Linked DNA regions of Sus scrofa. Each later gene encodes a partner of the first gene's protein in a complex. Links are inferred from orthologs where the notes say so. Each region holds a gene or a part of one and is shown on either strand. Other genes may lie near its edges.

What was found.
Region 2: the proteins of RNH1 (region 1) and RNASE1 are in contact, whole or in part, in a crystal structure (PDB 3TSR), measured with the Mus musculus proteins. The link is inferred for Sus scrofa from reciprocal best matches to the Homo sapiens genes RNH1 and RNASE1. Residues at the interface, in NP_001165571.1 of Mus musculus: Cys7, Asp32, Thr60, Asn89, Asp117, Glu145, Tyr146, Asn174, Glu202, Trp257, Trp259, Glu283, Ser285, Trp314, Lys316, Glu340, Glu397, Ser401, Asn402, Gln426, Val428, Tyr430, Asp431, Ile432, Tyr433, Trp434, Thr435, Asn436, Glu437, Arg443; in NP_035401.2 of Mus musculus: Arg26, Glu27, Lys32, Gln36, Pro48, Thr49, Gln53, Lys56, Arg57, Met60, Asn62, Gly63, Ser64, Cys65, Lys66, Pro67, Val68, Asn92, Lys94, Asn96, Leu111, Lys112, Gly113, Asn114, Ser115, Lys116, Asp121, Ala134, Glu136, Val143.

What each region holds. Positions count from the first base shown.
Region 1 is NC_010444.4:282,204-288,888, reverse strand, and holds the start of RNH1 (ribonuclease inhibitor), read left to right. Parts: upstream 1-2,486; 5' UTR 2,487-2,500; coding exon 2,501-2,738; intron 2,739-3,047; coding exon 3,048-3,153; intron 3,154-4,344; coding exon 4,345-4,515; intron 4,516-4,740; coding exon 4,741-4,911; intron 4,912-5,239; coding exon 5,240-5,410; intron 5,411-5,487; coding exon 5,488-5,658; intron 5,659-5,785; coding exon 5,786-5,956; intron 5,957-6,119; coding exon 6,120-6,290; intron 6,291-6,486; coding exon 6,487-6,657; intron 6,658-6,685. UniProt on the Homo sapiens protein: Ribonuclease inhibitor which inhibits RNASE1, RNASE2 and angiogenin (ANG). May play a role in redox homeostasis. Required to inhibit the cytotoxic tRNA ribonuclease activity of ANG in the cytoplasm in absence of stress.
Region 2 is NC_010449.5:78,211,703-78,216,460, forward strand, and holds RNASE1 (ribonuclease pancreatic precursor), read left to right. Parts: upstream 1-2,269; 5' UTR 2,270-2,301; coding exon 2,302-2,757; 3' UTR 2,758-2,872; downstream 2,873-4,758. UniProt on the Homo sapiens protein: Endonuclease that catalyzes the cleavage of RNA on the 3' side of pyrimidine nucleotides. Acts on single-stranded and double-stranded RNA.

The DNA.
Region 1 (6,685 bases):
CAGAAGGCCAGAAGTCCAAAAGGGACCTTACCGGTGTCAACTAAAAAAATACAACGTGGAAATTGAGTTGAGTTTTATTTGGGGTGAAATTAGGACTTAAGCCCCAGAGACAGCCTCTCAGGTAGCCTCAAGAAACTGTTCCAAGGAGGCCGGGGGGAAGCTGGCATATATGAGTTTTTGCAGCAAAGGGAAGGTGGTTGGAACAAAAGATGTACAGATAACCAGATTTACGGAAAACCAGTTTCTGTGGGAAGATGTAAAGGTCCGGGCTTGCTGGGATCAACCCCTAGCCTGGGAACCTCCATATGCCGCAGGAGCGGCCCAAAGAAATAGCAAAAAGACTAAAATAAAATAAAATATTTGCTTTAAAAAAAATAAAAAATTCCTGTTGGGAAGTTTTTTGTGGGGAGGGGGCATGGGGAGCTTCCAAGGCCAGGGATAGAACCAGCGCCACAGCTGTAACCAGAGCCACAGCAGTGACAGCGCCAGATGCTTAATCCACTGAGCCGGGAGGGAACTCCTCTGATGTTTTAAATTTACCGTAGTGAGTCCCCAAAACCCTAGGCCTCCAGCCTCGACCCCCACGGAGGGGAGAACCCCGGACGCAGGCCTCTCTGCGGGTCGGGCTCCCGCCCTCCCAGGCCCCGCCCCCAGGCCCCGCCCATGAAAGTGGCCCCGCCCTCCCAGGCCATGGCCCCGCCCCCTGCCCTGGTGAAAACGCGCTCGGCCCTGGGTCTGTGGCGAGGGCGGCGGCAGGAGGTAGGAGGCGCGGTGCTCGGCCGCTGCGGGAGAGGGCCGGGAAGCGGGGGCCAGGGGCCCCGCGGCGTTTGGGGTCAGTTAAAACTCCGCTGATGTTCCGGGCCAGCACCCTGACCGCGCGGCGGAGGGTTCCCGGGCCCGAGAAGGGAGCAGGGCCCGGGGCGCCAGGAGCCCTCTCCGCGCGGCGTCCGAGCGGCCCCCGCCGGGCCCCGCGCTGACCCCCGGCCTCCGGACACATGCGGAGTCTCGGGTGGGCGCGGAGGTGGCCCTGGAGCCCGGCGCGCCGCTGCCCCCTGCCTCTCACGGGTAACCGTGCTGCGCCGAGCGGGGGCGGGCCGGCGACGCGGGCGCTGCCCCCGGGAAGGCGGAAAGACGCGGCTCGCACGCCGGCGCCGCTCCGCGCTGAGGCCCATCCCTTCTGGAAGCAATTAATGGGGCCTTGTTGAGACCCTGGCCCGGTGCCTGGGCCTAGGGAGCGGCTCCGCTGGTGGAGCTCCCGGTTCTCAGCGAGGCATTGGGCTAGACACGTGCCTGTTCCTACCCAGACCGGGTCCCCTAACTGGTGGCTTGTGAGGATGGTTGTACACGCAGCACCTTTGGAGGATGTTAACTTTTTCACGGACCCTCAAAGGGATCAGTCACCAGGAGGCTCAGAAGTGTCCTCCTGGCCCCGAGGGTCAAGCAAAGGGGAGCCCCGGGGCCTAGTCGGGTCTGTGGTTCTCTACCCTGGACACTGCGTCCCCTAATGTCACGTGGGATTCAGGGAGAGGGCGCAGCTCCAAGGGAGCTATTGGGGCTGGAGATCCTAAGTGGATCCCCCCCTCAATGGGTCGGAACCAGCGAGTCCCCCTCCTGAGCCTTTCCGGTGGTGACTGAGGATTCTGAGTCAGGGTTTGGGTGACCACGCCCTGGGTCAGGAAGGGCAGGGCCGGGTGGCCTCTGCCAGTGATGGCTGTTGACGGGCCAGCTACCTCCGCCTTGGCCTTGGTTTCTCAGCAGGCCCATCCGTTAGGATGAGCAAGCCGGAGTCTTGCTGTTGGTTGGCAGCAGGGGTCTCCTCCACCCAGCAGGACTGTAACTTCAGCCTTGGCCTGGGGTGGCCCTCCGCCCTGCTGTGGGCTCCCAACCAGACGGGGGTGCGGGGGGTGGGGAAGCCCCCCTTTAGCAAGGCCTGGGCCCGCCAGGCATGGACGCAAACCTGAGTGAGGTATCATTCTCAGGAATCCAGGTTTCAGGGGCTGAGGGGGAACCCCCGGGGGGTCTGAGTCATCCTGTTGGAGCCTGGGGTCGCTGTGCCCAGGCAGAGCCTTTACTTCCTACTTGCTTCTGAATGAAGCCCTGCCCCCAGGCACTTTCCCCGCCCCAGCACCAGGCTGCCCGGGGGTTCCTCTCCCGCTGGCCCCCTGCCTGGGGCCCTGGTTCCTCTTTGGTTCAGGCTCCGTGCTGGCCCAGGTGAGGTTTCAGGGCCTGTGATCTCCCGTTCCAGGCCTGCCAGCCAGACGTCTCACTCTTTTCTCAGCCTCCTTGGTGAGCTGGCGCAGAGGACCTGCCCTGTGTGGGCGATCATGGAAGCAGACAGCCCCAGTGGCCACCCAGAGTGCTGGTCACTGGACCCGTGGCCCCACCCACCTGCTCTGTCCCGTCCAGGGCACCTATTGTGGCGCCCCTGGGAACGGTCACCTGACCACAGGCACCTGCCCCTCCCATCCGCTGCTCCAGGGGTGAGGCCTCAGGTGCCGGCATGCTGGGAGGGGGTCTGGCTTTGTGGCCACCTGGCCGGTGCAGTCCTCCGTTCTTAGAGGGGAGGCTGCGCAGGCACCGAGTTTGCTTAGCACTTCCCGGATTGAGGCCCCTGTGCCCACCTGCCTGGGGTCTCCACACTGTCCAGGCCCACAGCCCACCCCCCGCCGCAGCCCAGGCCAGTTGGAAGCAGAGCTTTGGGTGGCGAGTGCTGGTTTCAACTTCCTCCCAGGCAGGAGGTGCCGCATAGGCCGGGTGCGGGGCGCTGGCCGCTGAGAGAGGCCTCCGTCTGTCCCCAAGCCCTGCCGTCCCTGGTGGTCTTTGCTGGGGGGCCCAGTGGGCACAGCGTCCCTCTGCCCACCCCTGTTTTTGCTCCCAGAGGCTGGCGTGGATGAAGGTGCTGCAGAACGGAAACGAAGCAGCAGGGCCGGGCTCTGGCTTCTGAAATGTTGGCCCCTGGATCCTGTTTGGAACCCCCCACCTTGTCTGCGGACCTCTGCCCAGTCCAGCCTGCGCTGGGCTGACACGTTCCCCCCGCCTCTGTCTAGGAAGCACCCCACCTCCCGGCATGAATCTTGACATCCACTGCGAGCAGCTGAGCGACGCCCGGTGGACAGAGCTCCTGCCGCTGCTCCAGCAGTATGAGGTGGTCAGGTAGGAGCCCCCAGGCTGGCGGCCCCGCGGCCAGCACCTCCCGCTAACATCAGTTACAGCGGCGCGATGTCAACTGTGGGGTGTCTCGTGTGGCACGAAATACTACTCTTTTTGTCCTTTTTCCACCCATTTGAATGTGTGTTCCCCCTTGGTCCAGGCCTGGTGAGCAGGGCAGGGGTCTCCAGCTCGTCCCCTGGCTTCTGCTGTTGAGGGTCTCAAACCGAGACTTTCCTCAGGGCTCGGAGGCAAGAGATGAGTGCTTGCCTGCTTGCTTCTCTTTTTAACTTATTTGAAAGTTGTAGGTTGGCCGAAGCATCGTGAAAGCGGTGCAGGGGCCCCTGGGTGCCGTCACCCGGGGCGCCGTTCCAAGCAGAGTCCAAGCTCACGTGCCCAGCTTTTCCAGGTCCTGCAGACCCCTGGTCTCCAGGGTCCCTCCTTGTCCTTGGCCGCCTGCCTCTGGAGTCCGCTCGGGCTCTGGCACCCGAGTCCCTCTGACATGGTTGAGTCACACGTTCATGGCAAAAAGCTAACAGCCACGTGCTGGGCTGCCCGGCATGGTGTCTCGTGGGCTCTGTCATCACAGCGGTGCCACACGCTCACCCCCGTGGTCCCCTGTGACCACCTGGTGAGGCGGTGCCCGCCAGATGTCCACTGTAGTTACTGGGTTCCCTCTGTTAGTGACAAGCGCCGCCTTGCGAACCGCCTTCCAATTCTGCCGACACCGTTTCTGCGCAGACTGTCTCCTGATCTTTGCGTCCATCGGGGGTCTTGCCAGGGCAGCATCACCGGGCCTTTGCTCCGCTGGGCGTTTGAATCTCTTCATTCCGTCCACGTGTGTGGACTGTCGTTCTGTAAGGGCGGGCTTTGCCCCCTCCTGTGTTGACTCGGTTTTCACTTGATGGGGCGGCTGTGGTCCTGGGGCCTGCTCTGGTATGTTCCATGCTGGCCGCGCTGAGCCCTCTAGGTGGGCGCTTCCCTCTGCAGCGCTGGCTCGTCCAGGTGGCTTCTCTCCTGGCGGAGAGAGCAGCCTGCACCTGCCGACCGCCCCGCGGTCAGACGCGTTTGCCTGCCAGGATCCTGGAGCTTTTCTCAGGTGACCCCCGTGCTTTTTCCGTTGGGCTTGAGGTGTGTTGGCGGTGACGCACCTCGGCGGGTCCCAGCCTGCCGTGTGAAACGCCCGTCTGTCCGCAGGCTCGACGACTGCGGCCTCACGGAGGAGCACTGCAAGGACATCGGTTCTGCCCTCCGGGCCAACCCCTCCCTGACCGAGCTCTGCCTCCGCACCAACGAGCTGGGCGATGCCGGCGTGCACCTGGTGCTGCAGGGCCTGCAGAGCCCCACCTGCAAGATCCAGAAGCTCAGGTGAGCCTGCCAGCCCTTCATCCCACCCCGGGCGAGGCTCGGGCCCACGGCAGCCCTCCTGTCCTTCCTGGGCCCTTGGGCGCGTCGCGGCCGTGTCGCAGCCCCTCCTGCAAGGCCCGGCAGCCTGGCCTCCCCACGGGCGGGGGGCTGTGTCCGCCTCACCCGGCTCCTGCTGAGGGCTGGCCCGCCTTGCGTGGGAGCCCCGCTGACAGCCGCACGCTCCAGCCTGCAGAACTGCTCCCTGACCGAGGCGGGCTGCGGGGTCCTGCCCAGCACGCTGCGCTCCCTGCCCACGCTGCGGGAGCTGCATCTCAGCGACAACCCACTGGGGGACGCCGGCCTGCGGCTGCTCTGTGAGGGGCTCCTGGACCCCCAGTGCCACCTGGAGAAGCTGCAGTGAGTGTGCGCCCCCTTCCCCTAGCTAGGCAGCCCCCCGCCCCAGCCCCTGGGTTTTGGTTGAGGGTCTGCCCTGGGCGAGCCCCCTCCCCCCTCACTGGCTGCAGGGAGCTTGGAGGAGGGGGCTCTTGGGGTCCCACAGGCACTGCTGCTCCCTTTGGGTGTGCGGATGGGGTTGGCCGCAGAGGAAGGAAGCCTGGCAGAGGAGCCTCAGGTCTCTCTGCGGTGTCTCTGGGCTCGGCCCCCGCTGTGCCATCCCCGCCCGGCAGCCCGCCGGCCTCGGGGCCTCACGGCCAGGGTGAGGCGCTGACCGCCGGCCCGTCCCCAGGTTGGAGTACTGCCGCCTGACGGCCGCCAGCTGCGAGCCCCTGGCCTCGGTGCTCAGGGCCACGCGGGCCTTGAAGGAGCTCACGGTGAGCAACAACGACATCGGCGAGGCCGGCGCCCGGGTGCTGGGCCAGGGTCTGGCAGACTCTGCCTGCCAGCTGGAGACGCTCAGGTACGCTCGGGGTGGGCGCCGGGGGGCGAGGCGGGGGGCGGGAAGGCCCCCAGCTCCCGGCGCCTCTCGCCCCTCAGGCTGGAGAACTGCGGTCTCACGCCAGCCAACTGCAAAGACCTGTGCGGAATTGTGGCCTCCCAGGCCTCGCTGAGGGAGCTCGACCTGGGCAGCAACGGGCTGGGCGACGCGGGCATAGCCGAGCTGTGCCCCGGGCTCTTGAGCCCCGCCTCCCGCCTCAAGACCCTGTGGTGAGTGGCCTCGGGCTGGGCCCTGGGTCTGTGGCGAGAGCTGCCGAGTGCCCGGGCAACGCCGTGCTCGGGGCGGGGGGGCCGGCATGGCCCAGGGGTCTTGCGGTGACGGCCCCCCCACCCGCAGGCTCTGGGAGTGTGACATCACCGCCAGTGGCTGCAGAGACCTCTGCCGTGTCCTCCAGGCCAAGGAGACCCTGAAGGAGCTCAGTCTGGCGGGCAACAAGCTGGGCGATGAGGGCGCCCGGCTGCTGTGCGAGAGCCTGCTGCAGCCCGGCTGCCAGCTGGAGTCCCTGTGGTGAGCGGGTGCCAGGCAGTGCCAGGGGCAGGAGAGCCCATGTGGGACTAGCGCTGGGGGCTGACGGGGGTGCAGGTGCCCTCCGAGGGCAGGGCAGGAGGGTACGGAGGCCGAGCTGCCCCTTGGGCGGCGATCACCCCCAGCCCCTGCCTGCTGCCCACAGGGTGAAGTCCTGCAGCCTCACGGCGGCCTGCTGCCAGCACGTCAGCTTGATGCTGACCCAGAACAAGCATCTCCTGGAACTTCAGTTGAGCAGCAACAAGCTGGGTGACTCTGGCATCCAGGAGCTGTGCCAGGCCCTGAGCCAGCCGGGCACCACACTGCGGGTGCTCTGGTGAGTGTGCCATGAGAGCGTGTGCACCCGTGACTGCTGGGCAGTGGCTGGGGACAGCAGTGACCCTGGGGACTTGCTGAGTGTGCAGATGGGTTTCAGGCTCCAGGCACAGCACACGTGTTGCCTCCCCCTTGCCGTCTGGCAGCGGCAGAGGCCCTGGTCCCCCAGCCCTGACCCCGCCCCCCTCTCCACTCAGTCTTGGGGACTGTGAGGTGACCAACAGCGGCTGCAGCAGCCTCGCCTCGCTCCTGCTGGCCAACCGCAGCCTGCGAGAGCTGGACCTGAGCAACAACTGTGTGGGCGACCCGGGCGTCCTGCAGCTGCTGGGGAGCCTGGAGCAGCCGGGCTGCGCCCTGGAGCAGCTGGTGTAAGTGACCTGCGGCTGGGGCCGGGCA
Region 2 (4,758 bases), on another chromosome or scaffold:
AGCCCAAGTGAACAGTCACAGGAGCTAGCACTTTTTTTTCTTTTAGGACAGTCACAGGAGCTAGCACTTTTTTTTCTTTTAGGACTGCAGACCTATACCACAGCCACAGCAACACCAGATCCATACACCTACAATTTATGATGTAGCTTGTGGCAAGACCCTTAACCCACTGAGAAAGGCCAGGGATTGAACCTGCATCCTCACGAACACTACATGGGGGTCTTAACCCACTGAGCTGCAAGAGGAACTCCAGGAATTATCATTTACTGATGATTTCTAAGTACTGCCCTAAGTCCCTGGCATCTCACCTGACTTTGTCTTAGTAACAAATCTAAGAGGAACATTTTATGATTATACCCATTTTAGAGATGAGGAAACTCGCCCAGCTTTTAAAATGCTAAACCAGAATTTGGACTGAGACAGTGTAAACCTAGAGAATATATTTTGATATATCTCACTCCAAAGGGACTATATATATATGTGTGTATATATATATATATATATATATATGCCTAGGGTGTGTGTGTGTGTGTGTGTGTATCTGAATCACTTTACGGTATACCTGAGGCTAATACAATATTATAAATCAACTATACTTTAAAAAATAAGTAAAAAATAAAATTGTCTTCCAGCAAATATTGGTCTCTTTCTAGGAGGAAATTCTTCCTCTGCCAAGAACTGTGATGTTCTCTATTTCTATTTCTTCTTTAAAGGGGATTTTGCATTTTGGTTTATCTTTCATTCCTCTACTCTGACCTGCAGGATGGGAGATCACTGCAGATAATAAGGGCCACCCACCTTTAACAGCCCAGGAGTGTTGAAGTGGTCAGAACTGGGCTGTATTCAAGTCCTCTCCTCCTTCTTCTCCAGATCTGGGAAGCCATCCATCTGGGGGCAGTTGGACACCTCTCCCCACACTCCCCCCAGAAAGGTACTGGTGGAGATGTGGAATTCCGGCCAAAGCAGCTCCAGGACTTCTGGGGAGAGGACCTACCTCCCTCCGCGCCCCTATGATCGCGTGTTATGTGTCCTTTGCTAATCTCTGAGGGCTCTTTGGTGAATGCAGCTCCCAAAGAGGCTTAGTTGAGGGTTCTAGTATCAGTGCTCTAGTGATTTTCTCGGCTGTTTATGGGAAGGAAGTTTCTTACAGGCAAAGGCTCACTTTCCCCAGCAGCCCGGGAAAGAGGGCAGCCTGGGCGATTCCCCACCCCTTCCTCAAAATGTCCTTGTTTTCCTGTGGGCTGAGAACACGATGCTCCTCCCACCCTTCTCTTTTCAAAAGCCAAGCCCCTTTTTAATCTGTATAAAGTCGACAGTCTTGGGATCTAGTGATTGAAGAAACCGCCTTCTCTCTGAGACCAAGCCAGAGACCCAGGTAAGCAGTCCAAGAGGTGGTCTCAGGAGTTGCTTCTGCTTAAACCTTGGAGAGAAGGCGGTCAGGGTGGGTGAGGCTAGCCTGAGAGTCAGGACTGGGGCCAGAGCTGGGGGCAGGGATGGAGCAGGCAGGCTAGAGGGAGCCCATGCAGCCTGAGACAGAGCAGCTCTCAAGCTGGGGGAGGAAGCATCTCTCTTTAGAACACAATGGCATCCCTTTAAGGTGCTATTATCCCACACTGAGGCCAAGAGGTGTGTTTCTCTCGTGTTGTAGGACAGCAGGGCTCTGTCGAAAACGAAAATGACCCTAGATGTATACTTGGTAGTCATCTCAGGGACACAATTTGGCTTTTTCAAAATTTGGCTTGTTTATTTAATGATTTTATTCAAGAGAATCTCCTAATGAGCCACGTGAGCACTGGGTACAATTGTGTTTTATTTTTCAAATATGTTTTATATCAAAAATCCTTCTGTATTCAAAGACAGGACTGCTAGGATTTTAAGTCATTTCCAGGGTTACCAGCCAGAGGGGAGGATGGCCTCTCTGCAGGGAGTGGCAGTCAAAGGCTTGTGAAGAAGAGTATATGTGAGTGCCCCATTACTTAGCAAAGCTCACAGAAAGTCATCTTCCCGGTTGACCCAAAGGAAAACTATAAGCCAGGGAGGCTACAGGCAAGAGCTAGGGTCCCTTTCCTTTTTTTTTTTTTTTTTTTTTTCTTTTCTTTTCTTTTATAGCCGCTCCTGTGACATAAGGAAGTTTCCCAGGCCAAGGATCTAATCTGAGCCAGAGCTGTGACCTATACCTCAGCTGTGACAGCATAGAATCCTTAACCCGCTTCGCCACAGCAAGAGCTCTCTCTAAGCTAAATGCTTTTCCTCCTCTCTCCCTTTTTCCCAGGTAGGGTCCTTCAGGGCAGTAAGGCCACCATGGCTCAGAAGTCCCTGGTCCTGTTTTTGTGGCTGGCCCTGGTGCTGCTGGTGCTGGGGTGGGTCCAGCCTTCCCTGGGCAAGGAATCACCAGCCAAGAAGTTCCAGCGGCAGCACATGGACCCTGACAGCTCCTCCAGCAACAGCTCCAACTACTGCAACCTAATGATGAGTCGCCGGAACATGACACAAGGACGGTGCAAGCCGGTGAACACCTTTGTGCACGAGTCCCTGGCAGATGTCCAGGCCGTCTGCTCCCAGATCAATGTCAACTGCAAGAATGGGCAGACCAACTGCTACCAGAGCAACTCCACCATGCACATTACAGACTGCCGCCAGACGGGCAGCTCCAAGTACCCCAACTGTGCATACAAGGCCAGCCAGCAGGAGAAACACATCATCGTGGCCTGTGAGGGGAACCCACCCGTGCCAGTCCATTTCGATGCTTCTGTGTAGGTCTCCACCAGAGAGATGCCCCACCTCATCACCAAGGCATCTGCCTCTCCCCTCTGCTTCTTTGCCCTAGGGGGCAATAACTTAAGGTAGCCATGGCTCTTATTCATCCTCCACCTCCCACCCCTCACACATGTGTTTACATGCTTCTTTGGCTTGAGGGCAATAGCTCAGGTCAGGTTTCTTATCACACACACATTTCCCTGGTTGAGGGCAACAACTCAAGTTACTTAGGGCTCTTATCCAACAAGAGCATGCGCCAATGGCTTGAGGCTTGCCCTTACTTGGTTTGGAGGGTGAGGAGTGGGTTGTGAGGTGGGCCCATGTTAACCCCTTCACTGCTTCTTTCAATAAAACATATTTGCAACTATCTGAATTTCTGATGCTGTCTGCGTCCAGGTACTGTGTGGCCTTCTTTCTTTCTTTCTATTTCTACTTGAGGCCTATGGAAGTTCCCAGGCTAGGAGTCGAATCGGAGCTGCCGCTGCCGAGCTGCGCCACAGTCACAGCAACGCCAGATTCCTAACCTCCGGAGCGGGGCCAGGGATCGAACCCGCATAGTCATGGTTCATTACCGCTGTGCCACAACAGGAACTCCCTGGGCTATTTTAGATAAAAAGAAGCAACAGTCTGGGATACCGTCATTCGGGTGAGCTGACAGGGTGAAGCTCAGATACAAAAATCTCTGGCACAGAAGGAAGACAGCGTGACCCTGGGAAGACCTTGATTGGCCTCAGGTGGGGAAGAGGCGTGTATAAAATTATGACTCTAAATTTCCATTTTCCTTTTTTTTTTTTTTTTTGAGGGAGTTTTACTATATCAGGAAAATTATCCCCTCTTAGTTGGAAAGCTGGAATCCTTTTTTCAGGAGCTAGAAGGGACTTTAGATGTTATCAAATGGGGGGTTGATAAGTAGATTTCAGCTTCTGGACCAACTGAATTGGAAGTGCCTGCCTAGAATGCTGCAGAAAAACACCTAAACAGCGATTCAATGGAGGAGTAGCCTCTGCAGGAGGTATGAGGGAGGTGAAGGGTATGTACCATCCACTGGCCATCCTTCACCTAATACAACCCCCACCTTTTACAGAGGGTGACCTGAATCTCAGAAAGGTTAAGTGACCTGCTAGTTAGTAGTATGACTGAGACTAGACCTCAGGTCTCCTGGCTTCCCCATTGTTGCCCCTTCTGCTCCCTGAGTCCCCTTAAGGAGGAAGGTCCCATCTCCCTCCTGCACTGAGTGCTCTGCCCTTAACAGCTTTCTCTGCCTGAGTTTGCCCGTAGCTCTCACAAGTTCCCAGCATGCTGGGACTGTGAGTCTGTCACTTCTAGGCAACCCTTCCTTACATCCATTCTGTCATCAGGTAGGCATTTCCAATGACCTGTTTACACCTGCTTCTGGCTCCAGACAAGGTCATAGAACTAGAGAAAGGTCCTACTGCCAACCAGTTTAACCAGGTCTGTCATCGTTAGTGTGCACTGCATTGATAAATGCTGGAAGTGACTCTCTTTTAGGTAAAGTGAATTCTTAGCCCTGGGGGCTTCTGTAAGAGGTAGAAGCTCACTCTGTGGGGTGAGAGGGGGCAGCCAGATATTCCTGCATTTCTGTGCTAATGAGGATCTCCTTACAAACCTTGAGGATGGAGGAGGAAAAAAGGGAAACTTTGCGTTTCTAGAGGTTTCCTTTTGACAGAATTTTTTCTTTCTTTTTTCTTTTCTTTTTTTTTTTTTGGCTGCACCTGCAACATGTGGAAGTTCCCAGCTCTGGGATCAAACCTATACCTCAGTTGCAACCAGCACCACAGCTGCAGCAAAGCCGGATCCTTTACCCACTGAGCCACAAGGGAAATTTCTTGCAGAAGTATTCTTAAGTTCATTCACCCTTGTGCCAAACCCAAATCTCCTCATTTTCCCTCCTAGTGCTAAGAGGACGCTTTAGTGGAGTTTTACCAACACTCACTTGGAGTTTTGTTGCATCTACATCTACACATTCACCATCTGGGGAAT